7 linked regions of the Oryctolagus cuniculus genome follow. The protein of the gene in region 5 binds, or shares a complex with, the protein of the main gene of each other region. Links are inferred from orthologs where the notes say so. Each region holds a gene or a part of one and is shown on either strand. Other genes may lie near its edges.

Region 1 (3,824 bases), on a different chromosome or scaffold from region 5:
GTTTCTTGTCATTTCCTAAACAAGACATTATAGCATTTTTACATAGCATTTACATTGTAGTAGGGAACATAAGTAATCTAGGCATGATTTAACGTATATGAGAGCATGTGCATAGTTCATATGTAGGTACTGTGCTCTTTTACAGAGAGGGACTTAAGCACCCTCAGATTTTGGTATCCTTGGTCACAGGGAGCAGAGAGGGTGTTCGGAAACCAATCTCCCAGATTCCAAGGGATGATTGTATCTTTTTGTGTTTGGCTTGTTTCACTTAGCACAGTGTACTCAGGGGTCACCCATGTCGTACAGCCATGTGTCAGATTTCATGCCTTTTATGACTGAGAAAGACTCCATTGTATGGATGTGCCACACTAACCCATTCACCTCCTGTGGACACTTAGATTGCGTCTTCCTTTTGGCTACTGTAAATGATGTTACTATGAACATGGGTGTATATTCGAGTCCCTGCTGTCAGAAGTGGGATTGCTGGGTCATATGGCAGTTCTGTGTTTGAGGACCTGCCACACTGTTTTCTATATAGCAGCTTTGGTTTTGCATTTCCCCCAGCAAGTATAAAGGTTCCAGTGGGGTCGAATTAGTATCTCATTGTGGATTTGATTTGGATTTCTTTATTTATTTTTATTTTTGACAGGCAGAGTGGACAGTGAGAGAGACAGAAAAGTCTTCCTTTGCCATTGGTTCACCCTCCAATGGCCACCGCGGCCGGCGCGCTGCGGCCGGCGCACCGCGCTGATCCGATGGCAGGAGCCAGGTACTTATCCTGGTCTCCCATGGGGTGCAGGGCCCAAGCACTTGGGCCATCCTCCATTGCACTCCCTGGCCATAGCAGAGAGCTGGCCTGGAAGAGGGGCAACCGGGACAGAATCCGGTGCCCCGACCGGGACTAGAATCTGGTGTGTCGGCGCCGCAAGGCAGAGGATTAGCCTATTGAGCCATGGCACCGGCGATTTGGATTTCTGTTAATGATGTTGAGGGCCATTTCATTTGCTTATTGGCCATTTATGGGTTTTGCCCATTTTTAAATTTTTTTTAGTTGGAATTCTTTCCAGATTTTTAAAGGTTACCTAGACAGGTGGTCAATCCAACCATGAATTGAAGGATTCCATACACAGAAAACTAACAGGAGTACTTTGGTAGGCAGAGAGCTAAGATTGTGTTTAAACATCTGCCACCATAGTAGGTAACTCTAAGCATGGTTTTGGTCAGGAAAATTCCTGAAACAGGAATCATTTACCAAGCCTATAGGGAAATCTGAAAAGGTATAACCATTTTGATGAAAAATGTTCTGGAATATGTAATAGTAGTTGTACAACTTTATACCAAAACTACTGAATTACAAACTTCAAAAAAATAGTGGATTTTATAGTATGGGTGTTACATATTTGAAAATAACACCCACTTAATATTTGGTTTTATTGTTAAAGACTTATTCATTTGAAAGTTGGAGTTATACAGATAGAGAGAGGTCTTCGATCTGCTGGTTCACTCCCCAGTTGGCCGCAATGGCCAGAGCCATTCCAGTCCGAAGCCAGGAGCTTCTTCTGGGTCTCCCTTGTGGGTGCAGGGGCCCAAGGGCTTCTACTGCTTTCCCAGGCCACAGCAGAGAGCTGGATCGGAAGTGGAACAGCCAGGGCTTGAACTGGCACCCATATGGGATGCCAGCACTGCAGGCGGTGGCTTTACCTGCTATGTTACAGTGCTGGCCCCAATATTTGGTTTTAGAATTAACAGCTTCCTAGTGAAACTACTAGAGTTACAGAATATATCTGACCAACCACATTGATAGCAGCTTTTGAGTCTGCTGAGTGAGTAGATATATTCATGGAGTACCCGTTGTGTACATGACACTGTAAATACAGCAGGGGACAAAATGTAGTCCTTGCCTTCATGAGTGTGTTTAGTGTTCATTTCTTTTATGAGTCCTGGATGGCACTGGTTTTTTAGAATTACAAGTTTATTACCTATATGTATAAGGAAAACTAAACATTTTGATGTAAAATGAGAAATAACTTATTTATCTTAACTATTTATTTAAAAGGCAGAGTTAGAGAGGTGGAGCCTGGAACTCCATCTGGGTTTCCCATGTGGGTGCAGGGGCCCAAGTACTTGAGCTGTCTTTTGCTGTTCTCCCAGGCACGTTATCAGGGAGCTGAATCAGCCAGGACATGAACCAGCACCCATGTGGTATGCCAGCATTGTAGGCAGCAGCTTAACCAACTGCAACACAACAGTGGCCCCAGTGCCTACATTTTTACAAAAAAACCTTAGTTCTTTGGTTGTTGACTGGTAGATTTTAGCCATAGCTTTTGTACACCTGTTTAGATACTTCTATATGATTTACATATTATTACTATGAGAAAATTTAATGTTTGGGATTTGAGAACTGAATTTTCAGAAAATGTTTTAGTCACAACTTACGAGAATAAATTGGAGACTTCGTTCCCTGAAACACTGTTTGATATCTAACGAAAGAAATACTGCACAAACTGGGAAGTTTAACTTATTTGAAACAAGTTTTAATATATATTCTATATGCATGAACATTAATATTACTAAATGTTTATATAAACATGAAACAAGTACTTACAATAGTAATAGAAAGCTAATTTTCTCACTATTAATTACAGATAAATTTGAGTTGTTGGTATAGAAAGGTCTCAGTTAACAAGGTCTCACCAGTTGTAGGTGTGCTTTATAATTTCCTCCTGTACAATTGATACTAATGGATTTCTTTTTACTTCAAGCTTGCAAATACAGAAGAATACATAGATGGGGCATTGTCTGGACATCTGGGTGAAGTGTTAATAAGGTAAACAGCGCCAGTGTGTGTGAGAAGTTAGTGGTGAGCAGTATGTTTAGTGCCTCAACCTGGAAATTACTGGTTTTTTAAAAATTGTCAATTTATCATAATACTGTACAATTAGATTTCAAGATCTTTGAAATTGTTAAACTTGTCAAAGATAAAATATTTTGGGGCTATTCTTCCTCAAGATAGTTCTAATGTTGATAAGTCTTGTGACTCTGTGTTGTAACCTTTATTGTTAAAGATGTTTGTTAGACCCAAGTTCCAGTAATTTTTCCCTTCAGAAAATATCATTTTTAACAAACACATAAAAAATGTGTCATGTGCTTTTTAACAAAATGGGCCTTTTTTTCTGTTTACAGGTGTAATAATGTCCTTTATATCAGGGGTGTTGAAGAAGAGGAAGAAGATGGTGAAATGAGAGAGTAGCATCTTTGGTGGGGTTTTCTTTTTTTATATATATATTTCTAGACAATAAAGATGTGTTTGTTTTTTCAACTTGACTTGTGAGCTATTTATATGTAGGTACTTAAACAAATGCAAAGCTCCCCTGTTGAACCAATCAGAACCAATGCTTGAAAAACCATCCTGCTTGATTCAGCGTGGTTTTCTTTTGTTAACCCCAGTACTTTTTTTTCCTGTAGATGCCTAGAAATTTTTTAAAGATGAATTTCAGCCCTTATATATTAACTGAGACCTTTTAAAGGCAACTGTTTTTTATATTCTTGAGCTACTTTTAATATGTATACAAGTTAAGCATTTTCTTAGTATTAATATATACTATTTTTACTTAGTAGTCAATAAATTCTATGTTCTCTATTAATATATGCTAACTAATGTACATGCTGTAGCTAAAATCAGAACATCTGATAATTAAAATAATTGTGGAGATAGGGCACAACAGAAATTGTGCCCTGACAGGCTGCAAACATATGTTTTGTTGACTTAAGATAATAAAGTATTTAGGACAGAATTTACTGTGAAAGAAAACCAGTCTCACGGT
Region 2 (4,049 bases), on a different chromosome or scaffold from region 5:
CTGGGCAATTTTCCACTGAACTGTGAACTAAAATCAACTACTTTTGGAGCCAGCCTGCAGTACCAGCATCCCATACGGGTACTAGTTTGAGTCTCAGCTGCCCCACTTCCAATCCAGCTCTCTGCTATGGCCTGGGAAAGCAGCAGACGATGGCCCAAGTCCCTGGGTCCCTGCACCCATGTGGGAGACCCAGAGGCAGCTCCTGGTCCCTGGCTTCAGATCAGCTCAGCTCCGGCCATTGCAGCTGGGACTCGAACCGGCGTCCATATGGGATGCCGGCACTCCAGGCAGTGGCTTTACTCACTATGCCACAGCATTGGCCCCTATCCTCGGCTCCTCAGATCACAGAATTACAAAGGATGATCAAAAGTACCAGTTGCACACTCTGACCCCGAACCTTGCCCAGTCCACCTTTCACTCAGTGAACTGAATCTATTGAATACCGCTAAGAGCTCAGCAATAGCAGGCACTGCAGTTACAGCGGTGAACCAAACAGGCAGAGTCCACTTCCCTGGAGGTTCCGGGCCTTCAGGGAGCCGGATGTCCCTGTGGAGACAGGTGCTGCAAGGCAATTTTGGCTGGGGGAGTGGTGTAAAGAAAACAGGTGATCCGAGTGCAGGAAGGCTGTCTTAGGTTGGGTGCAGTGTTGTCTCTGAGGGGGAGCCGTCAGGCTGCGCCCTGCACCTTGTACAAGGAACATCCCCTGACCTCCACTGAGATCTGGAAGAAGAGGGGCCAGCTCGTACCAGGGGGCATCCCAGAGGCCCCAAGAACACAGGCCCGCGCCCGGCAACAGTGCGAGGGGTAGCAGGGGAGGCCAGGCGGGTGGCGGCAAGTTCCAGCTGCTCTGGGGGAAGTGGGCTGGAAGCCACAGAATTCCGATGTCCCGACGTGAAGGAAGAAGGGGTAAGCATTCACCGAGGGAGTCTGCGTCAGGCTGCTCCAAGCGCCCGCTGAGCGCGAGCAAACCAGAGCGCCTGCCTTGGGTCTCACCTGGGCAGCGGCAAGACCCTGCCCGCGCGGTGGGCGCTTCAGGTGTCTTAGCTGTAAGCTGATGGAATCTGCAGACTGCCCTAGAATTTGGACCGTATTAGTACAGATACGCGAGCGGGGTCCCGTTGACCTTGAGGGAAAAGACGCCGAGGCTTTACCCGCGGTACAGCCTCCACGCCACCGCCACGGAGCCGCCCCGAGCCACCGCACGCGCCCCGGAAGCCGGTCGGCTTCTACTGCGCCTGCGCCGCGGCCTCCTCTCCCTCCCGCCCCGCCTCCACGAGGGGGCTGGGTCTTAGTCGGCCGGAACTCCCCGCTCCCGACGTTTGCTTCCGGGTCGGAGCCATGGCGGTGGCAAATTCAAGCCCTGTCAACCCCGTAGTGTTCTTTGATGTCAGTATTGGCGGCCAGGTGAGATCCAGGCGGCCACTCCGACTCACGCGGGAGGGAATGGGGATAGAGGGGCAGAACCCACCAACCCAGGGACGCCAGAGAGTGAAACCAGCCAGACCCAGCGACCCGCTGCCAGGGGCCTGGTAGCAGGAGGCGTGGGAATGGCGCGCATCCTGGCTCCCTGCTTCTGGAGGGGCTGGGGGGACCCACGGCTAGGCCAGGGATGCGGAGGCGGGAGAAAGCGGACGGGTCAGCCTCCGGGGCTCCCAGCTTCCTGAGCCCTTCATAGACTTGGACTGAGCCTTGTGACCGTCTCCGTCTCCCTCCGGTTACAGGAAGTTGGTCGCATGAAGATCGAGCTCTTTGCAGATGTTGTGCCCAAGACGGCCGAGAACTTTAGGTAAGGAGATGCTCCAGCTCCGCCAGGTGAGCCGAGCCAGCCGCCGGACCCCAGGCGGCCTGCAGAGTCGCCTGGTGCGGGCTCGGCCCGAACGGTCACCATGGTGACTGTTCGCGTGTCAGTTCGTGTCCGCAGTCTGCAGGCCTGCGTCTGTGCACGCGTGGGGGCAGGTTGACGGGCTTGCTGGCTCCGGCCCTCCGAGGTCCGAGGCGCGCACGACTGTAATGCCACAGTGACTGAGTCTTCACTCTTTCCTTTCAGGCAGTTCTGCACTGGAGAATTCAGGTCAGTCTCGGGCGTGCTTCACTTCTCCGCCTGCTCCTATGGGTGTCTTAGGGCCGCACTGACTGTATTGGGGAACCACCAGCAGGCCGCCAGTGATTGCAGGCGGTGCTGATAAAAGGTGGCACCCCAGGGGTCTGTCCTTCGCAGGTGCTGTTCTCCCAGCGGTCTCTAGGAGAGCCCCTCTGCTCCAGTGCAGGAGCTGCAGAGGCCTTTGATTACCTGTCGTCATTCCAAGTCTCTTTCTTTTTGCTTATAGAAAAGATGGGGTTCCCATTGGATACAAAGGAAGCACCTTCCACAGGTAAGGCCGTTGGCAAGCATCCTGGGGGCTGGGACGCCTCTCAGCATCCGCAGGGGATTGGTTCCAGGATCCCCCTCAGGTACCTAAATCCAAGGATGCCTGGTCCCTTGCATAAAATACATAGTACTCGTATATATGGATTTCCCAAGTTTTTGCACCAAAATAAGTTTATCTTTTAATTCCATTTTCCATCAACTTTTTATTTAAAGTGCCCCTGTTTTGCATATAACCCACACAATCCTCCCATATATATTTTTAAGATTTATTTATTTATTTGAAAGAGAGAGAGAGGCAGAGAGAGAGAGACATCTTCCATCTGCTGGCTCACTCCCCAGTTGACTGCAACAGCCAGAGCTGTCCCGATCTGAAGCCAGAAGCCAGGAGCTATTTCCAGGTCTCCCATGCAGGTGCAGGGGCTCGAGGACTTGGGCCATCCTCCATTGCTTTCCCAGGCCATAGCAGAGAGTTGGATTGGAAGTGGAGCAGCCAGGACTAGAACCAGCACCCATATGCGATGCCAGCACTGCAGGTGGCGAGTTTACCTGCTATGCAACAGCGCCGCCTCCCCCCTTACGATTTATTTATTTATTTGAGAGTTGGAGTTACAGACAGAGGGAGAGGCAGAGAGATATCTTCCATCCACTGGTTCACTCCCCAAATGGCTGCAATGGCCAGAGCTGGAACAGTCAGGAGCCTCTTCCAGGTCTCCCACGTGGGTGCAAGGGCCCAAGCACTTTGGGCCATCTTCTGCTGCTTTCCCAGGCCACTAGCAGAGAATGGGATAAAAAGCAGAGCAGCCGGGACTCGAATCAGCATCCATATGGGATGCCAGCATTGCAAGCTGCAGCTTTACCCACTACACCACAGCACCAGCTCCTTTGCATATACCTAATAAAATGTAATACTATATTGTTCAGGAAATAATGGTGAGAAAAATAACTCAATACATGTTCAGTTCAGATACAGTTTTTTCTCCCAAATATTTTTTATCTCAGGTTGCTTGAATTCCTTGGTTGTGGAATCTATGGATATGGAAGGCTGAGTGTACTTTGTTACGGGGTTAGGATTTTTATTTTTTATTTAGTATTTGAGAGACATGAGAAACAGGGAGTTAGCTCCCGTCTGCTACTTCACTCCCCAAATTCCCACAATAGCCAAAACTGGACCAGGCTGAAGTTGGAAGCCAGGAACTCAGTCCAGCCCTCCCATGTGGGTGGCAGGGACCCAGTGACTTGAGCCATCACCTGCTGCCTGCCAGGGTGCGCGTTATCAGGAAGCTGGAATTGGGAGTGAGCCAGGCATTCCGACGTGGGATGGGGATGTCCCCAGCAGCATTTTAACCACAAGACCAAACATCCGCCCTCCTGATGAGGAGCTTTGAAGAGAACTAAATCAGAGGCTAATTCTTAGCCCTTGAGAAGACATGTTTCTGTGGACTCAGCAACCTGAAGATCTAAATGTTCTAGCTACACTTACAGTCCTCCACTGATTCATTTTATGTATTAAACCAGAAACTGCATCGTTCCACTGTTCTATCAATTTCATGCCTTTATTTGTGTGACCACAGATTTTAAAGATTTATATATTCATTTAAAAAGCAGAGTTAGAGAGAGGGAGAGAGAGATCTTACATCCACTGTTTATTGCCCAGGCGAGGGCTAGGCCAGTTCAAAGCCAG
Region 3 (3,500 bases), on a different chromosome or scaffold from region 5:
TAAGACTCATTTCTTTGTACAGCTTTTTATGACTCTAGTAGCCTTAACTTCTTTCATTCCTGAACTGTGTCATATTGCTTAGCATGATCATATACTGGTTTTGAGTAGTATCTTGTATAGCTTGAAAACCCCCTTTGGACAAGGCCTTTTGACAGTTTATCTTCTAAGAGCTTAGCATTCAACATTAACGTCCAGACATACTTGATTTCAAGAGTAGGGCTTTCTGTTCTAGTTGATCGGGAGGCTGCAGACTCAATTTCCACTGCCTTTCTCTTGGTTTTCAGTTGGCTAAGTGGAAGACTGCTGAGGAAGTGGCTGCCCTGATCCGATCTCTGCCTGTGGAGGAGCAGCCCAAGCAGATCATTGTCACCAGGAAAGGCATGCTGGACCCGTTGGAGGTAAAAGGGTGGACAGGGTAGACAAAGGCAGGCCTGAGGCTGAAGATCGTTTCTGATCTTGTCTTGATCTGGTCGTAGGTGCACTTGCTGGACTTCCCCAATATTGTGATCAAAGGATCAGAGCTGCAGCTCCCCTTCCAGGCTTGTCTCAAGGTGGAGAAGTTTGGGGATCTCATCCTTAAAGCCACTGAGCCGCAGATGGTTCTCTTCAACCTCTATGATGACTGGCTCAAGACTATCTCATCTTACACGGTAGGAAGACGGCCACGTTGCGAGTGGGTTTGTGGTCAGGAAAGTATTCTCTGCCTGATAGTTTCCTCACAGGCCGCTGATTTGGGCCATTCTCATAGTTTCAGTCTGTGGATGGAGCAGGAACTCTGCTGCCTTACGAGGGCTTGGAACTTTAGAGTTTGAAGTCAGTTCTTGGGTTTCCTGCAAGCACAGGATGGAGACATTGAGAAAAGGGGAGAACCTCAGTTAGCGGACCTCCGCCGTCCCCGCCCACTCGCAAACACTCTTCTGAATTTCTTCCCAGGCTTTCTCCCGTCTCATCCTGATTCTGCGTGCTCTGCATGTGAACAATGACCGGGCGAAGGTGATCCTGAAGCCAGATAAGACTACAATTACAGAGCCGCACCACATCTGGCCCACTCTGACTGATGAGGAGTGGATCAAGGTGGAGGTGCAGCTCAAGGATCTCATCCTGGCTGACTACGGCAAGAAGAACAAGTGAGCCATTGTGATGGGGAGGCCAATGGGTGTCCACAAAGCTGAAGTGGGGGGCTCAGTATTGGGGTTCTGTGGCTTTGGAACACTTGGCTCATAAGTTTCTCAAGAAATTGTCTTAGAGATACTCACAGAGGAGAAGCAAGCAGTGTCTTCAAATAGTACAGGAAGTCTGCATGTCTCAGGGCTTCGCTCTGATTGTGGCTGTTGTGTTGTGTTTTTGGAGTAACTGGATCTTTTATGATTTCAATTCAGTTATGGAATTAGCAAATTCATAATGTTTATCAGAGAAAAAATTTCCTTTGGGACATCAGAAAGAAGCACATAGGCAATGACAATTCAAGTCACCTTTACAGGCCATAACAAAAATGAGAGCAAATGTTGATGATGAGTTGATCCTAGCAACATTTTTACTATTTCAAAGACTACCCAGAAAAGCTTTGCACTCAAACACCACATCATGTAAACCAGGTATTCATGCCGCTTTTGAATTCTTTTTAACAGTGTATAACCACATGGTTTTTGCTTTTTTTTTTTTTTTTTTTTTTTTTTTGATGATTGCAATTTTTTTTTGAAAGTCCAAGTTACAGAAAGAGAGGCACACACACACACTCACACACACACACATACACATATCATCCACTTGCTGGTTAACTCCCCACCCAAATACCCTCAACAGCCTGGGCTGGGCCAGGCTGAAGCCAGAAGCTCAATCAGGTCTCCCCCATGGATAGCAGGGACCAACTACTTGAGTAATCACCCTGGTCTCCCAGAGTGCACATTAGCAGGAACCAGAATTGCAAGTGGAGCATGGACTCAAACTCAGGCATTTCAGTATGGAATGCACACCTCCCAGGCAGCACCTTAACTGTGGCACCAGATGCCTGCCCCAACCCCTTTCTTTTTCACAATATACTAAATCTCCGCTTATTCACTTCCCAGCAGTATAATTTGTGGCTCAAAGAGTAATAAATACATTTTTTGGTTCTTGCTACAAATTGCATGTGCCGTGCTAAAAAAAATGGATTGGGGCTAGTGGTGTGATATAGTGGGTAAAGCTGCTGTCTGTAGCACTGGCCTCCCATATGTGCTGGTTCAAGTCCTGGCTGCTCTGCTTCCACTCCAGCTCTCTGCTCTCTGGGAAAGCAGTGGAAGATGGCCCAAGTCCTCGGGCCCCTGCACCTGCATGGGGGACCTGGAAGGAACTCCTGGCTCCTGGCTTCAGATCAGCCCAGCTATGGCTGTTGTGGCCATTTGGGGAGTGAACTAGTGGATGGAAGATCTCTCTCTCTCTTCTCTGTCTCTCTGTGACTTTGCTTTTCAAATAAATCTTTTAAAAAATATATGGATCACTTTATAGTATATTCATGACTCCTTTCTGACTGGTATTGGAAAGAAAAGAAATTATCTGATGTAGCAGTCAGTTAACTTTTTTTTTTAAGATTTATTTATTTATTTCAAAGTCCAAGTTACACAGAGAGAGAAGGAGAGGCAGAGAGAAAGGTCTTCCATTCATTGGTTCACTCCCCAGATGGCTACAAAGACCAGAAGTGGGCCGATCCAAAGCCAGGAGCTTCTTGCGGGTCTCCCATGCAGGTGCAGGGGCCCAAGGACTTGGGCCATCTAATATTGCTTTCCCAGGCCATAGCAGGGAGCTGGGACTCAAACTGGCGCCCATATGGGATGCCAGCACTGCAGGCAGTAGCTTTACCGGCCCCTGGTGTTCCTTCTTAATAGTTTCCATAGGATTGAAAGATGTGGTATATTAACTCCCCTGTTGTGAAGCAGAAACTGGTATGTTTTGTAGAACAGAGACTAGACGAACTGGAATAATTAGAATTAAGAAACAATTTTTCTCAGGGTTTATCTAATGTTCTTATTTACAATTCCACTTTCCAGCCTTGGAATCTTTTGGATTATAAGTGTAATCTCCCTCTTTTACATATGGGAAACTGAGTAAAGAGGAGTGACAATCCCAGCACAAGTCAGAATTAAAGATGGGAGAATAATTAAGTTCTGTAACTTTGCTTCCGACCCTAAGTCATCCTGTTGGCCATTGTTTCTCAGTGGAGGAAATCCTGCCATTCTGAGGAGGGCTCATCTTTATTGTAATAAACTACAGGAGATTCTAACTTCCAGACCTTGAGTACCATCACTGATAGCACATACCTGTCCCACCTCTCCTTGTCATTGTGACGTATCAAAAATGTCTGTAGATCTCCAGTGTTCCCGAGGGTGACTGGTATTACCACCTCTGGGGAAGAACCAGTGTTTCAGGGGTGCTGAGGAAAAGTGGGGTTCTGGGTGCTGAGTGCTGAAAGGTACACTTGCAGGGCGCAGTTCTACTTGGGATGTGACATAGAAGGAGGAGTGCAT
Region 4 (3,500 bases), on a different chromosome or scaffold from region 5:
GTTCCCAGGATCTCCGGGCGCTCGGCGCCGCGCCCCGGGAACCGCATCTGCCCGGAGCCGGCGGGGCCCGCCCATTTCCTGCCGGCACCCGGCGCGGGTTGATCCCTCCCCGCCTCAACGTCCCGTTCCAGGAGGGAGGGGCAGGGGAGCGGGGCTGCAGCCTGGGTACCTCCCGAAAGGTGACCCCGGTGCGGGACAGGCGCGGCCGGGCTCAGCCCACCCCACGCCGCGGAGGCCGGCCGCCCCCAGCGCAGCACAGAGGCCGTGGGGACACGCTCAGGCCAGGGGGCCCCCGCCCGCGCCCGCGTCCCGCTCACCGTCCACATCCCGGCGCTCCCCGAAGCCCGCGCGCACAGCCGCGGCGCGGCCTCGCGGGGGGCTTCGGTTGGCCCTCAGCTCGGCGAACATGGGGCCCGCGGCGCCGCCCGCGCACGCCCCTGGCCGCGCAGGCGGCCGGTGTGGCCGGCGGGGAGCGCGCGCCGCCCCGCCCCGCCCCGCCCGGCCGCCCCGCCGAGCCGGTTCGGCCCGCGAGTCTGCGCGGCGAGGCACCTGCCGCCGGCCCGAGCGCAGCGCGCTCCAGGCGCTCCGAGGTGGGGCGGCGCGCGCGGGGCCGCGTGTGCCTGGCGTGTGTGTTCTCGGGGCGCGAGTCGCCGCGCACCTGCCGGGGTCGCCCTCTCCGGGGGCTTTGACCGACCGGGGCCAGGCAGGGGGCCCCGGCCCCCTCGTCCCCGCTGATATAATCGGGTTTCTTAGGCCTCTCCCTCAGATGGGCACCTGCTTCCCAGAGAAGCCCGCGCGACCCTCCCCTGCCATCCCCCACTCCTGCTGGCCTGGAGGCAGCTCCCCTCGCCCTGCAGTCCCAGCGCGAGCCGTGGGGGAGCTGCGCTGGCAGGTGCAGGCTCGAGAACGCACAAGGGGCGAGAGAGGCTCGAGGAGGCCGAGGCCGTGGGGCAGCGGGGGCGCCTGCTCCAGGGTCCTGGCTGGAGGTGCTGGGGACCGGCACAGGGGTCTTTGGCCTGAGCTGTGAGGAAAACGAGGCTTGCGAGTGGCTGAGCTTTCTGCCTTGCCTGGGCCCTGTGGGGGCTGCAGAATCGCAGGTGCAGCACCCGGTCCTCCACCGGCCTGCGTGTCCTGGGAGGCAGTGGGGACCTCGAGTCACGGGGTCCCTGCCCCCGGGAGTGAGGCCTGCGTGGAGCTCCGGGCTGGCCCAGTGGGCAGGGGCGGCCTGATTCCAGCCCTGGCTACTCCCGCTTCCGATCCAGCTCCCTGCCAGTGCACTTGGGAGGCCGCAGAGGATGGCGCAAGTGCGGGGCCTCTGGCATCCACAAGGGAGACCCGGTGGAGCTCCCAGCTCCCGGCTTCAGCCCAGCGCAGCCCTGGTCCTCGTGGCCATTTGGGGCGCGCCTGGCAGCTCTGTCACTCCGCCTTTCAGAAAAACAAAGGAGTGCGTGCCCAGTGACAGGCCCCCCGCACGGCACCCGCGTCCGCCGCGCTCATTTCTGTCCTGAGATGATTGACGGAGGGCACAGGGCGAGAGATCTCCCACCCACCGATTCGCCCCCCAAACCGCTACCAGGGCTAGGTCCAGGCGAGGGCCAGCTCAGGCATCGTCGCCCGCCTTCCCCGGAGCCGTGGCAGGCAGCCGGGAGAGCAGTAGAGCCCCTGGGCCCGCAAGCGGCGCCCTGCGTGGGACCTGGGCGGCGGGACCAGTCAGCCCCCCGCGACACAACGCGGGACCCATCGGTCTTCGGCCACTGGCTCTCAGGAGCTGCGGACGCGGCGGCTCCAGCCCTCCCAGGAACGGCCAGGGTGCCGCCGGGGCGTGCGGGGTTGCAGTCCGCCGGCGCCCAGGTCCACACGCGCGCGGCTCGGCCCGCACGGGGAGGTTCCGGGAGCGCCACCGAGCGCGCGGGAGGGCGCGGCCCCGCCGCTCCACCAGGGGGCGCTCCGGCTCCCTTGCCCGGCGGGCCGGAAGTGGGCGGTACCCGCTCCGCAGCTTCCGCCCGGGAGCCCGGGGTGGGCGGAGCCTCGGGCGGACTGCGCGCTCTGCTTCCGGGGCGCGGGTGACGCGACGCCTGCGACCCTTCGCGACGACAGCGCTGTGGCGGGCTCGTCTCGGAGGCTCAGGCTGCGGCTTCGCGTCTTCTCCTCACCGCCATGAACAAGAAGAAGAAGCCGTTCCTGGGCATGCCCGCCCCGCTCGGCTACGTGCCGGGGCTGGGCCGGGGGTGAGGCCTGCGGCCGGGCCGGGGGCGGAGAGGCCGGGGCTGGACTGGGACTGGGCGAGAGGAGGGCTTCGGCCGGCGGGGACGAACGGGGAGCGGGTCCCCGTGGGGCTGGTGCCTGCGCCTGAAGGGAGGTGACCGCCGTGAACGGCCGCCCACTCCTGTGTTGTTGGTGCTTGGGGAGGGCGTGGGGACGTGCGGGGTGGGAGGAGCAGGGCGGAGCCGCGGGACCCCCGGGACCCTGGGACGCTCCGGGGGCCGGGGAGATGCGGCAGGGCAGGGGGCGGGCTGGGGCGTGCGGGCGGTGCCGCAGGGGGGACGCGGGAGCCTCGCGTGCCAGGGCTGGGGAGCTGGGGACACTGGAGCGTGCGCTGGGCGCGGGCCGGCCTCAGGAGACGGCTTGGGGTCGGCCTGGGAAAGGCAGTGGAAGAAGTGTGTGGGCCCCCGCCAGCCGGGTGGGAGACCCGGAGGAGGCCCCCGGCCGCTGCAGCCGTCTGGGGAGTGAGCCAGCGGATGGAAGCTGTCTCCGTCTTCCTCGCTCTCTGTAACTCTGCCTTTCAAGTAAATAAATAAAAGAAGGGCTGCCCTGCTCAGAGCCGCGTCGGCAGGAGTTGCAGGCGGTTACCGGCGGTGGTGGGTGTCGCGGCCTGGGGAGGAGCGGTGCCTGCCCTGGTGCTGGGTTCACAGCCTGGGCAGCTGCCGGTTGCACCCAGAGAGGGGCCTGGCTGGGCCAGGCTGGGTCTGTGGGCCTGCGTGGCTGTGGAGCGGAGAAGCCTGGGTGGAGACCTGGGCGCTGGGGGCTTCCAGGGGCAGGTGCAGGAGCCGGCTGACGGCGCCTTGGTCTGCCGCAGGGCTACCGGCTTCACCACCCGGTCGGACATCGGACCTGCCCGGGACGCCAACGACCCCGTGGACGATCGCCATGCACCCCCCGGCAAGAGGACCGTTGGGGACCAGATGAAGAAGAACCAGGCTGCCGACGATGACGACGAGGACCTGAACGACACCAACTACGACGAGGTGCGTGTGCGGCCGGGCGGTCTGCGGGTCCCCAGCCGCCCACAGACGTCTTCGGTGTGGCGTGGGGAGGGAAGCGCCTTTGGAAGGCGCATCCTCGCCCAGGGTCTTCGCGCCCTGTCGCTTTGGCGCGGTGCCTCGCAGCAGGGCAGTCTGACAGGTGACGCCTGTCCCCTGAGGAGACTCGAGGAGAATTAGTTTTGTTATTGGCGAGGGAAGTGGGCGGTGGCTGGTTGCCTGTGACAGTTGTCCCACTTA
Region 5 (3,216 bases):
GGAGAATAAACCAGTGGATGAAAGATCTCTCCTCTTTTATCATCTGCCTTTCCAACAAATACATAAATATTTTAAAAAGGAAAATAAACCCTCAGACTCTGCAGATGGCAAATACGCTGAAACCAGGCAAGACCAAGGGTGGCAGACCCCAGTCACAAGCGAAAGGGGTGAGCCAGGAACCCCTCCCTGCTCGTGGGGCATCCCGACTCTAACACTGGGGACGGCCGAGAGGGCTACCGCAGGAACCAGGAACAAAGGACCCAGAGGCAGACACGGCTCATGAGGCAGGGAAACTTGGGTACAGGCACCAGTCTGCCGGGCCGTGGATCGGCGCCTCCCTCCCAGTTCTGTTTCCTGGGCCCATCCAGGATGTGGGGCAGTGGACTCCCTTCCCTCTCGGTCTCTCAGGGCCGCACAGGTGCAGTGGTGTCTGCAGAGCCTCAGCCGGCCCGAGGGACGTGAGGCTGCGGCAGAGGCGCCTGCAGGCAGCACACTCCTGGTGGGCGCACACTGAGACCCCACGCCTGTGAGCACTGGAGAGGCCAGGCGGGCTCCCAGTCTTAGCTGATGTGACACACAGACTGCGCTGGACCACCTGAGCCACTCCAGTGCCCAGAGCAGGGCTTCAGGTCCAACTGAGACTGTGAGAGTGACTCGACCGGCCAGCGCCTTCCCAGCCAAGCAGGGCACAGCGACCGCAGACCCACGAGCACAAGGAGCCGGATGAGCCACAGCGGAGAGCAGCCCAGCCGCGGTTCTGCCTCGTGCGACCGAGTCCTGCAGCTGACCCTGCCCAAAGCCTCACCAGCAGGCCTGCGGGCACAGAGCACACACCCCGGCTCTGCTCCCCTTGGGAGGCGCCCATCCCAGAGTGTGGCCGGTGCTCTCACTGCTGCTGGCCAAGCTGTTTCCAAATAACTCAACAGAACTCAGAGCGGAGAAAACATGCTTTAAGCAAAGCCAACTGATAAGGACACTAAACAAAGGTGCTGACGTGGTAACTGGTGAGTGACGCCGGCAGTGAGAGTAACTTCTCTATTTCAATGGCACCCTGCTGGCCTTCCTGGCCACTTTACTTCAAGAGGGGAACTTGTTACTGAGTAAACACGGAAACTGGAACTGTACTTTGACAATTACTGAAGACTCACAGGGATCCCCTGGCCACGTGACCACATAACTGGCTTGCTCCTGCAGGACTGCTGATCACGGCCAAGCTCAGACCACCCGTGCGTGAGGTCAGACATACCTGAAGAAAAACATGACCGTGCACGGGTCGTACAGCTCGTACATCTTGTTGAAGTCGGGCACTTCTGTGATGTCCACAAGATAAATAACCGCAAAATTTTTAACCTACGAGAAAAAGAAATTAAGAAAAACTAAAATTACAGATCCATTTGGCTCTCATTATGTTAAAGCACATTAAAAAAACAAGACTCTGTGTCATAACTGGACAATTTTCAAATGAATTCTCCAGCACTTCCTGCCCAGTAAGCTAGCACACAAGGAAACCACACAACACCGTGAGGAGCTGGCTTCTGACGATTCACTCTGGCGTCTCTCACAGTGCCTTCACAGTGTGGCACTCACGGGAGATCCCGAAAGCCCACTGAGCTGCCACAACTGGGCTTGCATGCTGAGCCACTGCTTTAAACCACACGTGTGCAGACCTCAGCCGTCCACGACCTTCCAGCCGTCCCGGACTGAACATCTGCCAGTACCAACAGGACCCCAGGTGATACTGTACACATTTTCCGTGATTTTTTTCTTTAACTGCAAGTTCATCAGAGAATATATTTAGAGAAAACAGAAAAATATAAAGAAAGTAAAATCACCTCCAGCCTCAATACCCGCAGGTAACTGGTCTAATTCCTCTGTTACATTTCTCTTCTACCTCTTTTCTCTAATTCTTTTGCCACATTTCCCCCCACTTTCAGGGCATGTTAAAAAAAATTCTATGGGACAGTGCTGTGGTGTAGCTGGTAAAGCCACCACCAGCAACACCGGCATCCCAAATGGGCATCAGTTCGAGTCCTGGCTGCTCCACTCCTGATCCAGCTCCCTGCTAATGGCTGGGAAAGCAGCAGCAGATGGCCCAAGTGCTTGGGACCCTGCACCCACGTGGGAGACCTGGAAGAAGCTCCTGGCTTTGGCTTGGTCCAGCCCCTGGCCGTTGTGGAAAACTGGGGAGTGGACCAGTGGATGGAAGATCTCTCTCTTTCAAATAAATAAATCTTTTTTTTTAAATCAACTAGAAAATTTAAAGATTCTATGTGTACTGTTTCTATGAAATGTGATCATACAGTTGTCAGACTACAAGATTACGTATCCTGCTTTCATTGTGATCATTCCCTTAACAAATTACCCATCTTCCAGAAACACAAGCTTCTACATCTTATTTCACCAGTGGCCATGTTGTTACTATCCTGTTACTTTGTTTCTGATTTTTCATGACTCAATCAAATGTTCCATTAACACTAATGCTACCTGTGAACTGTACCCTTATACTGTTTACACACTCCATCATTTCCTAAGGATGAATTCCCAAGAGAACCTCTGGACCATGGAATATGACATCTGTAAGGCTCAAACAAATACTGCCAACACCCTCCGGAAAGCTTACACCACTTCCGTGTGTTGAGCAGGGCTGTGTCCACACTGCTACATATAAGGTCCAACCTCAATGCCGAGCGTGTGACTTCTCCAGGAACAGCAGGTGGGCCCCCATCACCAAGTGCTGCGCACAAGCTGTGGGGCCAAGGAGGACAGGGTGGGTTCCACCCCGTGGAGGAGGCTCTCTCCCAGGTCCTGGGAGCACACCCCTGCCCCTGACTCTGGATGTCAGGTCTCCACACTGTGAGCAGACCCGGCCTGTGACGTTTTCTGGCAGCCATGGGAGACAGGCACCCACCCACATTTCTTTCCAAAGTCACTCTAACATCCAACTCTAACTTACAGATGGGATAATGTGGTAACTGGGATTTGCTTTAAATGCTGCAGCATAATCAGGGCTAGACAACATGAGAATGGCAACGTATTAATAACCACTGCAGCCGAGGACAGGAACAGAGGGCTCATTACACACTCCTCTCTACTCCTGGGAATATCTGGACTCCATGTGTTCTCCAACACCCCACTGAAAGCTCAGAGGCCCCCAGAGTCAACGTGGTCCTTCAGTCAGTTGCTTCTCAGCATCGCCAACCTCCCGGCTTAAAGCGG
Region 6 (3,962 bases), on a different chromosome or scaffold from region 5:
GCCCCTCTTCCAGGCCAGCTCTCTGCTGTGGCCAGGGAGTGCAGTGGAGGATGGCCCAGGTGCTTGGGCCCTGCACCCCATGGGAGATCAGGAAAAGCACCTGGCTCCTGGCATCGGATCAGCAGCGCGCCGACCGCGGCGGCCATTGGAGGGTGAACCAACGGCAAAAGGAAGACCTTTCTCTCTGTCTCTCTCTCTCACTGTCCACTCTGCCTGTCAAAAAAAAAAAAAAAAAAAAAAAAAAGGCTAAGAAGCCCCCATCTTCCAACACATGTGATGTTTCAGTCACACCACACTCCTGCGGATCTGTGACCACCAGGGGGGCGGTCCCTGGAGGGAGGGCGCAGGAAGGAGATCGCCCGTCATCAGGTGCCTGTTTGAATGAACCCGCCCCACCTGCACACACTGCGCATTCAGTCGCGGGTGGGAGGGGCTGAGGGGGCAGGCAACAGCCCGCTGGCCGCAGTGTTCTCAGGCCAGGACCAGCAGAACCGGGCGGCAGGAGAGCGCCTGGAAGGTTCTCCTGCAGGACCGAGCCCTGCCAGGGGCACCTCTGCAAGGCTGTGGGCACCACAAAGGACGGCCAGGGGCACGGTGAGTGCGTGAGTGAGACACCACAGAACACACGGGGGCGGCGCTGTGGTTGGTGGGCTGACGCCCTGGCCTGCAGCGCCAGCATCCCACAAGGGTGCCGGTTCGAGGCCCGGCTGCTCCTCTTCGATCCAGCTCTCTGCTGTGGCCTGGGAAAGCAAAAGATGGCCCAAGTGCTTGGGCCCCTGCATCCACGTGGTAGACCAGGAGAAGCTCCTGGCTCCTGGTCAGCTCAGCTCAGTGAACCAGCGGATGGAAGACCTCTCTGTGTCTCTATCCATAACTCTACCTCTCAAAATAAATAAAATATTAAAAGCCTGCCTGCGTGCTACCCCCGGCTCTGGCCCCACTGTGGACATCCGGGGAGTGCCCAGCAGGTGGGAGCTCTCTCCGTCTCTCCGCTTCTCTTTCAATGAATGAACCAAAAGGTGTCCTGTGGCCAGGCACTTCATGCGTGTTAAGTCACCGCATCTCTGTATCCACCGCGACGACTGCCTGCCACTGTGCGGACAAGATAACGGCACGCGCTGAGGGTCGCCTGGCCGCTCAGAGGGACAGCACAGCAGGGGCCGGCTGGCGCCCACCGCAGGGCAGGGCGGGAGGCGCGGCCTCGGAGGAGCCCCGCCCGCAGGCCCCTCCCTCCCGGGCCAGGCCCCGCCCCCGGCCGCGCACCTGTCGAAGGCCTTCACGCGGCCCAGCAGCTTCTTGTTGTTGCGGCAGTTGATGAGCACCTGCGTGTTGTTCTTGACCGACTGCGTGAGCACGGAGAGCGGGCCCGTGTTGAACTCCTCCTCCTCCCGCTTCTGCAGCTCCTCGGGGGTCATCTCGCTCTTGGGCTTGTTGAGGAGGCTCCTGACGGGGGAGGAGGGACCCGCGGGTGAGGGGAGGAGCCGGGGCCGCCCCCCAGCCCTGCCGGCCTGGTCTCTAGGCATCAGCACCTGGAAGCCACCAGCCATCCCCAACCCCGCCCGCCCCGGCTCAGCTCCCGCTAGGCCCCCTCCCCAGCCTGCTGCACCCAGGGCACACCACTCCCTGGGGGGTAAGTCCGCCCTTCTCATTGGCCGGGCAGAAGCGGACGTCCACTCCTCTTTCGTCTCCCACGGCAACTCGGACAGCAGCCACTGTCAGGACTTGCTCTACGGCGCCCCCACCTTCCTCCCCCTGGCGTCTGACGCCCACTGCCCCACAATCGGACGCTTGTCCCTCGGCATCCACAGGGGGCTGGTCCCAGGATCCGCGTTGCCCGGGTCCCGGAAGCCTCAGCGGCTCGGATCCCTTAGGTGGGATGGCGGGGACGCACACACACACACCCTGCGCACACCTCCCGCTCGCTAAGTCATCTCCAGGTTACAGCGTAACGGGACCTGACTGTGCTGCGACCCCGTGGAGCCCGGGCAACAGTCACAGGAGAAAGGCCTGCCCGGCCACTCGGGGCTGGCCAGCCTCGGTGTTCAGAACAGCACTCGGGCGCCGGCTTAAAAACCAGCCTGCCGTAGTCCCGCTCGGCAGGGCCGAATCAATGCGTCTGCCGGCCGTACCCCTCCCCCCGGCCGGCTGCAGAATCCGACCTCCGTGCCAGGGCTACCTGCACCCAGGGGCAGCCTGGGGGCCGTGCGCAAGCCTAACTCACGGCAGCCTCTTCGGAACCCTCCCAGGGCCCCCGGCTGAGCCTGCAGCCCCAGCCGCGGCGTCGTTGCGAATCAGGCCGAGCAGCCACGGCCCCCGGCCCCAGCTCACGTTCCAAGCCCCTCGCCCCCAATCGCTATGCCTAAAAGCCCGCGCCCGCTCCCCGGCTTCTGTAACTCGAGAAGCCGCTTCTTAACCTTCACTCCAGCGAGCTGATGACGCGGAGGAGCCGCTGCCCGTTCTCTCACAGAGCTGGCGGCCCTCGCGGACTCAGGGTCCGCCAGAGGCCCCGGGGGCCGGTCCCACGCTCATTACAGAAAATTCGCCCGAGAGCTCTGCTCCGCCCCCGGCGCTGCCGCCCCCTTCCGCCGCTAATCGGCCGCATTCGCACCCACAACCTCACGCCCGCCGCTTAAGCCCAGCCCGGCCTCACATGGTGCCGGCCCCGCGTTCGGGTCACTCTCACTCCAACCTCCTCCGCGTTGCTTCTGCCTCTGCGGATGGAGCGCGAGAGGGGCGGGACTTCCGCTTCCGGCGGGCCACTTCCGTGGGCGCCTGCGCAAACCCACCCGGCGGGCTGGGGCGTGGCTTGTTGCCATAGCGACCCCCGCCGGCTGCGCAGCGAGGGGGCCGAAGCCGCGAGCGGCAGTTCGAGGCCTTTAAGGACCACAGCGGGCAGGTGTTCATCGGGATGGAGAGACCAAGACAGAGAGTCCGAGTCGCGCCGCTTCGTGGTAGAGGCGGGACAGGCTGCAGGAGGGAAACGGCCAGAGGTTTCTAAATGCCCGCCAGCCCCGTCTCCGGGGGCGCGGCCTCCACGAAGCCAATCCGGTCCCGGCTTCGGGGCCTGACGCCTCGCTGGATCTTCCCGTCCCGCGGAACCAATCCCTTTCCGCGGCCGGGCGCTGCCCATTGGCTTTACCCGCTCCGCCGGGGCGGGCCGCACGCCTTCGCGTCCCCTCTGGGGGTTGTGCAACCCCTCTGGGAGCCAATCGCGACACCCCGGGCCTCCGGGGAGGCTTGTCCTCGGGAGCTGCACCCGGCTCGCCGGGCCGGGGTGGTGCCCGGCGCTCTTGTCGCTCATTGGCTTTGTGATTCCATGGGGTGGGACTTGGCTGGGCCTGAACTCCATCCGCGGTCCCTGGCCGGTTTCAGGGCAAAGCTGCCATGCGTCCCGGGGGCCGCGGGCGGCCCCGGCCCCGGCTCGGGGAGCGCGGCCTGATGGAGCCGAGCTCGCCGCTCAAGCGCCGCCTGCTCCCGCGGGCGCAGCTGCTGCCCGTGCTGCTGCTGGCGCTGGCCGTGGGCTCGGCCCTCTACACGCTGTGGGGCAGCTGGCACCGCAGGACCGAGGAGCTGCCGCGGGTGAGGCTGGGCGCGGCGCGGGCACTGGAGGGCCCTCTCTCCCCGCTTCCTCTTTCCGAGTTTCGGTTTGACGTGGCGCTACCTGGGGCCCTGGCCGCAGGTGCCACCGGCTGCCTCCCCGGAGCGCAAGCCCCCTCCCAACGCGCCCCCTGGAAAGAAAGGCTCCGGAGTCGTCAGGATGAGGGTTTTGGGTTCCACGCCCGAAAGGCAACTCTTGGAAGCCTCCCTTCCCCTCGCTGGGCTTCGGTTTCCATGTCACGATCGAGGGGTAGGCTAAACCGGGTGGGCTTGGAGAGACTTTGATCCTGGAAGTCTCCCATGCCGCGGAGGCACCCGGGCTTTTGGGGGGAGGGAGCAGTGCGCTCATTCTTCTCTTCTTTAGA
Region 7 (3,953 bases), on a different chromosome or scaffold from region 5:
CACCTGGCCATGATTTCGCTACAGCTCCACAGCCTGGGCAGAGACGGCCAGGGACGCGCGCGGATGGACCCTGCTCCGCGCTAGGGCGGGGTCCCCCTCATTCCCCGGGGCTGAGGGCTGGGCCCTCAGAGAGAGGCACTGACCCGGCTCGAGCGGCGGCCCCGCTGCCTCCGCCTCCGTCCTCATGACCCGCGCAGCACGGGGCGCCCATGGCCCCGGCCCGCTGCGGGCTGCAGCTTCGGCTTCAGCTGGCGCAGGAGCGCAGCCAATGCGTGTCGAACGCCGTAGCCGCCGCCGCCACCGCCACAGCGGGGAGAAGCGGAGGCGGCGGCCGGGCAGCCCCAAGCCCCGCCCCAGCCACTCCAGGTCTTGGATCCGGAGGCCCCGCCCCTCCCCTAATCCCCGCCCCTTCCCAGTCCCAGACTTCGATTCCTAGAGGCTTCCAGCCTCATGATTTAAGCCCGGCCTGGCCATTCACAGTCTCGGTTTCTGGTAGCTCCGCCCCCTTACCGAATCCTCGCGCAGACGCGCGGGCCCTTCCTTCGCTCGGTCCCCCGGAAGCTCCGCCCCTTCTGAGCCCCTCCCCGAGGGCTCGGCGCAGCGCAAACACTGGCTCCCCAGGGGCTCTTTCCCTCAGCAAGCCCCGCCTCTGCCAGGCCCCACCCCTTTGCCGGCTTCAGCTGTAAGCCGGCTCCGGCCCTGTGATTGCCTAGGGTCCAGGCAACCGTACTCTGATCTCTTTAGTGCTGAGCCGGCCCCTGCTCCACTTGGTACCTCAGTTTCTCTGTCCAGACACGACACCTCCCCTCTCTGAGAGTTCCCGTTACCTGGCAGTGCCGGGTTCCAAAGATTAAATTGTGAGGGGAGGTCCCAGCCCTCATTCCCACTTCCTGCTGCCCCGGATCCGAGGACCCAGGCTGTAGATCCCCTCCTTGTCGTCCAGCCAGTCTTTTGTGAGGGGTGCTTGGAAGCGCAAGCCCCCCTCTCCCGTTTCGGGCCCCCGCGTCGGGGCTTCCGGCGGCCCCCGGGCCCTGTCATCAGCCCTCTCTTCCGGCGCCGGAACTATCGTACCTGGGTCCGCGTTTCCCAGCCGGCGGAGTAAGGAGGAAGCGGAGACGAGCTCGCGCTCTGGGACGGTCCCCGCGCGCGGCATTCTGGGAGCGCGTGGTATTCTGGGAGTGCAAGGCCCGCCATTCGCCCCGCTCACGCCTTCTCTCTCGCAGTTGTTGTCGCAGCACCGAAGAGGAGGAAGAAGGGGCTCGAGCCGGTGAGTAGGGGCCGGGGACGGGAAAGGGGAGGCCTAGGCGCTCGTGAGGGATCGGGGGCTGGGGCAGGACGCGCTGCAAGGAACCGCGCAGGGCTCCGGGAGGGAAGGAAGCGGGAAGCCGGGACACCCAGACACCCGCGTCGCCTCGCCTGAGCCTGGGGAGTGAGTTCGTTACCTCCCCCTCGTTTCTGGCTGCTTAGCCTCGTCCCTGAACTCCATCGGCGTCATCCTTGGCCTCCAGCCCCCTTTTCCGGCGCTGATGCAGCCCCTCGTGCTTTCCACGCCATTGCAAAAGCGTTTTCCGAAGTTCCTCTGCTTCTGAACTGTGTGTTCGATTTGGCCTGTAAACGCTGATACCTTTCCATTGGGTCGTTCCTTCCTTGAGATCCCGCGCTGGTTCCGTGCTCTCTGAAACGTAACATTCCAGCTCTGGCGGCGGAGGGCTGGGGATCCTCACGGAGCGAGCCTGGCTGCCCTGTCGTGTTCTCCCTTATTTCGTGCCAGCCTTGCGTCCTTACCTGGCTCAATAAAAACTCCACTGCTTGTCTCTCAACTACGTCGGCAGATCCTTGTGTTTTTCCTCCAAGATAAGCAGTTTCCTACACGTTGTCCCTTTGTGACCGCTTTGCTGTTTTCTCTTTAGCTTTAACAGTAAAGCGAATGGAAAGTCAGAGGCTGAAATAAAAACACAGCCTCCTCTCCTGGATATGTCTGGGTCCTCTGGTTGGTTGGTTTGTTTGTAAGATTCATTTATCTGAAAGGCAGAGTTACACAGTCGGGGTCGGGGGCAGGCAGAGAGAGAGATCTTCCATCCCCTGGTTCACTCCCTCAAATGACTGCAACGGCTGGAGCTGGGGGCCAGGCCAGAGTCAGGATCTTCTCCCCGGTCTCCCACAGGTTCAGGGGCCCAAGCATTTGGCCCATCCTCTCCTGCTTTCCCAGGCTATCAGCAGAGATCTGGAGTGGCAGTAGACAGCCGGGACTTGAACCAGTGCCCCTGTGGGATGCCGGTGTACCCGCTGCACCCCATCGTGGTTTTCAGGATGCAGTCACCCACAGCTGTGGATAGGCAGATGTGTTGCTCAGCATGGACGTTCCGAGCGCCTCTCTCCCAACACACAGACCACATTGGTCACTGGTTATCTTGGCCAAGGAAAAGGGACATGAGGGGCCAGTGTTGTGGGGCAGCTGGTTAAGCTGCCACCTGTGACGCTGGCACCCACGTGAGAGTGCCAGGCTGATTCTCAGCTGCTCCATTTCCTATCCAACTCCCTGCCAGTGCTCCTGGGAGGCAGCAGATAATGGCCTGAGGTTTGAGCCCCTTGCCACCCACATAGGGAGACCCAGATGCAGTTCCAGGCTTTGCAGCCATTTGGGGAGTGGCCCAGCGGATGGAAGATCTCTCTCTCTCTCTCTCTGTATCTGTATCTGTGTCCCTTACTCTGTCTCTAGGTAAAGGGACATGGGAGCAGGTGAGGAGTAGGGAGGTAGGTGGGAGATTCTTTTCCTTTCCGTGAGCTTTCCTTCTGTCCAGCACGCTGTCTCTCCCCTCTTCATATTGTGTGTATTTGCCAGGAAGGCTCCTCCAAGCCAGGAGCTGAGCTGCTCTTGTGTAGAAAATGCAGCTTTGGCACCGGTGTTAGGTTTTATGGGGTCCAGGCCTTGGGGAGACATGGTGCGCACCACACGCGGCCTCTGGCTCTGAAGGCTGGGCTCACTGCTGTGTCTCCCACCACAGCACTCTCCTCCTGCCGAGATGTCCATCGGTGTGCCGATCAAAGTCCTGCACGAGGCCGAGGGCCACATCGTGACCTGCGAGACCAACACCGGCGAGGTGTATCGGGGCAAGCTCATCGAGGCAGAAGACAACATGAACTGCCAGGTACGGGAGGCTGGCGGCGTCTCCATTGTGCCCGACGTGTGGCAGGCGCTGCCGCGGGCTCCGGGACTGTGGGCCTGAGCAAGAGACAGTACTGGGGCAAAGAACCGTATGGAGATTTGGAATAGTTAACTTTGGCCTTTGCCTTCTCCATCCCATAATTGTCCCCTCCCAACTCCCCATTTTAAAGATTTATTATTTATTTGAAAGGCAGAGAAAGAGAGGGAGAGATCTTCCATCTACTGGTTCACTCCCCCAAATGGCCACAGTGGTTGGATCTGGGCTGATCTGAAACTGGGAGCCGGGAGCTTCTCCCAGGACTCCCACGTACAGGGACCCAAGCACTTGGGCCATCTTCTACTGCTTTCCCAGGTGCATTAGCAGGCTCAGAAGTGAAGTAGCTGGGACTTGAACCGGTGCCCGTATGGGATTCCAGTGTTGCAGGCAGTGGCTTCCCCTGCTACACCACAGTGCCAGCCTCTCCCATGTTTTGGGGCCTGTTTGAGAGAAATGGTGTTACCACCTTCAGCAGAATTCTTCAGGTTCAGGGCCATTACCCTCCCACCCCCACCACCCCACACAGTGAGCAGAAACCTGTGTGCTCTTTTTCTTAGAAGAGGGGTCATGTTTGATTACTGCAGCTGCCTAGTGAGGTAAATGAGTTTGGTGATAGTCTCGGCATCCAGGAAAGAGGGAGAATGTGGTTAAAGGACTCATCTACTGAATATTGCTCTGCTAATAAATGATAGAGCAACTTTCTAACGTGGTGTCTTTCTCAAAGCACTGCTTTTTACATAGTCAGGTAAA

Evidence for each region.
Region 1: TXNL4A (region 5) and SNRPF share a complex: the UniProt entries of both Homo sapiens proteins name them as parts of the U4/U6-U5 tri-snRNP complex. The link is inferred for Oryctolagus cuniculus from reciprocal best matches to the Homo sapiens genes TXNL4A and SNRPF.
Region 2: TXNL4A (region 5) and PPIH share a complex: the UniProt entries of both Homo sapiens proteins name them as parts of the U4/U6-U5 tri-snRNP complex. The link is inferred for Oryctolagus cuniculus from reciprocal best matches to the Homo sapiens genes TXNL4A and PPIH.
Region 3: TXNL4A (region 5) and PRPF8 share a complex: the UniProt entries of both Homo sapiens proteins name them as parts of the U4/U6-U5 tri-snRNP complex. The link is inferred for Oryctolagus cuniculus from reciprocal best matches to the Homo sapiens genes TXNL4A and PRPF8.
Region 4: TXNL4A (region 5) and PRPF6 share a complex: the UniProt entries of both Homo sapiens proteins name them as parts of the U4/U6-U5 tri-snRNP complex. The link is inferred for Oryctolagus cuniculus from reciprocal best matches to the Homo sapiens genes TXNL4A and PRPF6.
Region 6: TXNL4A (region 5) and SNRPD2 share a complex: the UniProt entries of both Homo sapiens proteins name them as parts of the U4/U6-U5 tri-snRNP complex. The link is inferred for Oryctolagus cuniculus from reciprocal best matches to the Homo sapiens genes TXNL4A and SNRPD2.
Region 7: TXNL4A (region 5) and SNRPD3 share a complex: the UniProt entries of both Homo sapiens proteins name them as parts of the U4/U6-U5 tri-snRNP complex. The link is inferred for Oryctolagus cuniculus from reciprocal best matches to the Homo sapiens genes TXNL4A and SNRPD3.

The regions. Positions count from the first base shown.
Region 1 is NC_091442.1:98,728,125-98,731,948, forward strand, and holds the end of SNRPF (small nuclear ribonucleoprotein F), read left to right. Parts: intron 1-2,762; coding exon 2,763-2,827; intron 2,828-3,183; coding exon 3,184-3,250; 3' UTR 3,251-3,324; downstream 3,325-3,824. UniProt on the Homo sapiens protein: Plays a role in pre-mRNA splicing as a core component of the spliceosomal U1, U2, U4 and U5 small nuclear ribonucleoproteins (snRNPs), the building blocks of the spliceosome.
Region 2 is NC_091438.1:130,423,808-130,427,856, reverse strand, and holds the start of PPIH (peptidyl-prolyl cis-trans isomerase H), read left to right. Parts: upstream 1-1,249; 5' UTR 1,250-1,338; coding exon 1,339-1,404; intron 1,405-1,721; coding exon 1,722-1,786; intron 1,787-2,047; coding exon 2,048-2,071; intron 2,072-2,327; coding exon 2,328-2,372; intron 2,373-4,049. UniProt on the Homo sapiens protein: PPIase that catalyzes the cis-trans isomerization of proline imidic peptide bonds in oligopeptides and may therefore assist protein folding. Participates in pre-mRNA splicing.
Region 3 is NC_091448.1:47,180,267-47,183,766, reverse strand, and holds part of PRPF8 (pre-mRNA-processing-splicing factor 8), read left to right. Parts: intron 1-284; coding exon 285-398; intron 399-476; coding exon 477-650; intron 651-933; coding exon 934-1,127; intron 1,128-3,500. UniProt on the Homo sapiens protein: Plays a role in pre-mRNA splicing as core component of precatalytic, catalytic and postcatalytic spliceosomal complexes, both of the predominant U2-type spliceosome and the minor U12-type spliceosome.
Region 4 is NC_091442.1:201,402-204,901, reverse strand, and holds part of PRPF6 (pre-mRNA-processing factor 6), read left to right. Parts: intron 1-317; coding exon of another isoform or gene 318-408; exon of another isoform or gene 409-487; intron 488-1,999; exon of another isoform or gene 2,000-2,157; coding exon of another isoform or gene 2,158-2,228; intron 2,229-3,076; coding exon 3,077-3,245; intron 3,246-3,500. Other genes in the region: SAMD10 (sterile alpha motif domain-containing protein 10), read right to left, coding at 318-408. UniProt on the Homo sapiens protein: Involved in pre-mRNA splicing as component of the U4/U6-U5 tri-snRNP complex, one of the building blocks of the spliceosome.
Region 5 is NC_091441.1:294,906-298,121, reverse strand, and holds part of TXNL4A (thioredoxin-like protein 4A), read right to left. Parts: intron 1,351-3,216; coding exon 1,247-1,350; intron 1-1,246. UniProt on the Homo sapiens protein: Plays a role in pre-mRNA splicing as component of the U5 snRNP and U4/U6-U5 tri-snRNP complexes that are involved in spliceosome assembly, and as component of the precatalytic spliceosome (spliceosome B complex).
Region 6 is NC_091449.1:11,275,666-11,279,627, reverse strand, and holds the start of SNRPD2 (small nuclear ribonucleoprotein Sm D2), read right to left. Parts: upstream 2,801-3,962; 5' UTR 2,653-2,800; coding exon 2,651-2,652; exon of another isoform or gene 2,415-2,650; intron 1,444-2,414; coding exon 1,264-1,443; intron 1-1,263. Other genes in the region: QPCTL (glutaminyl-peptide cyclotransferase-like protein), read left to right, coding at 3,385-3,579, 3,962-3,962. UniProt on the Homo sapiens protein: Plays a role in pre-mRNA splicing as a core component of the spliceosomal U1, U2, U4 and U5 small nuclear ribonucleoproteins (snRNPs), the building blocks of the spliceosome.
Region 7 is NC_091452.1:31,112,355-31,116,307, reverse strand, and holds the start of SNRPD3 (small nuclear ribonucleoprotein Sm D3), read left to right. Parts: upstream 1-1,153; 5' UTR 1,154-1,267; intron 1,268-3,005; 5' UTR 3,006-3,023; coding exon 3,024-3,149; intron 3,150-3,953. Other genes in the region: protein GUCD1, read right to left, coding at 828-1,038. UniProt on the Homo sapiens protein: Plays a role in pre-mRNA splicing as a core component of the spliceosomal U1, U2, U4 and U5 small nuclear ribonucleoproteins (snRNPs), the building blocks of the spliceosome.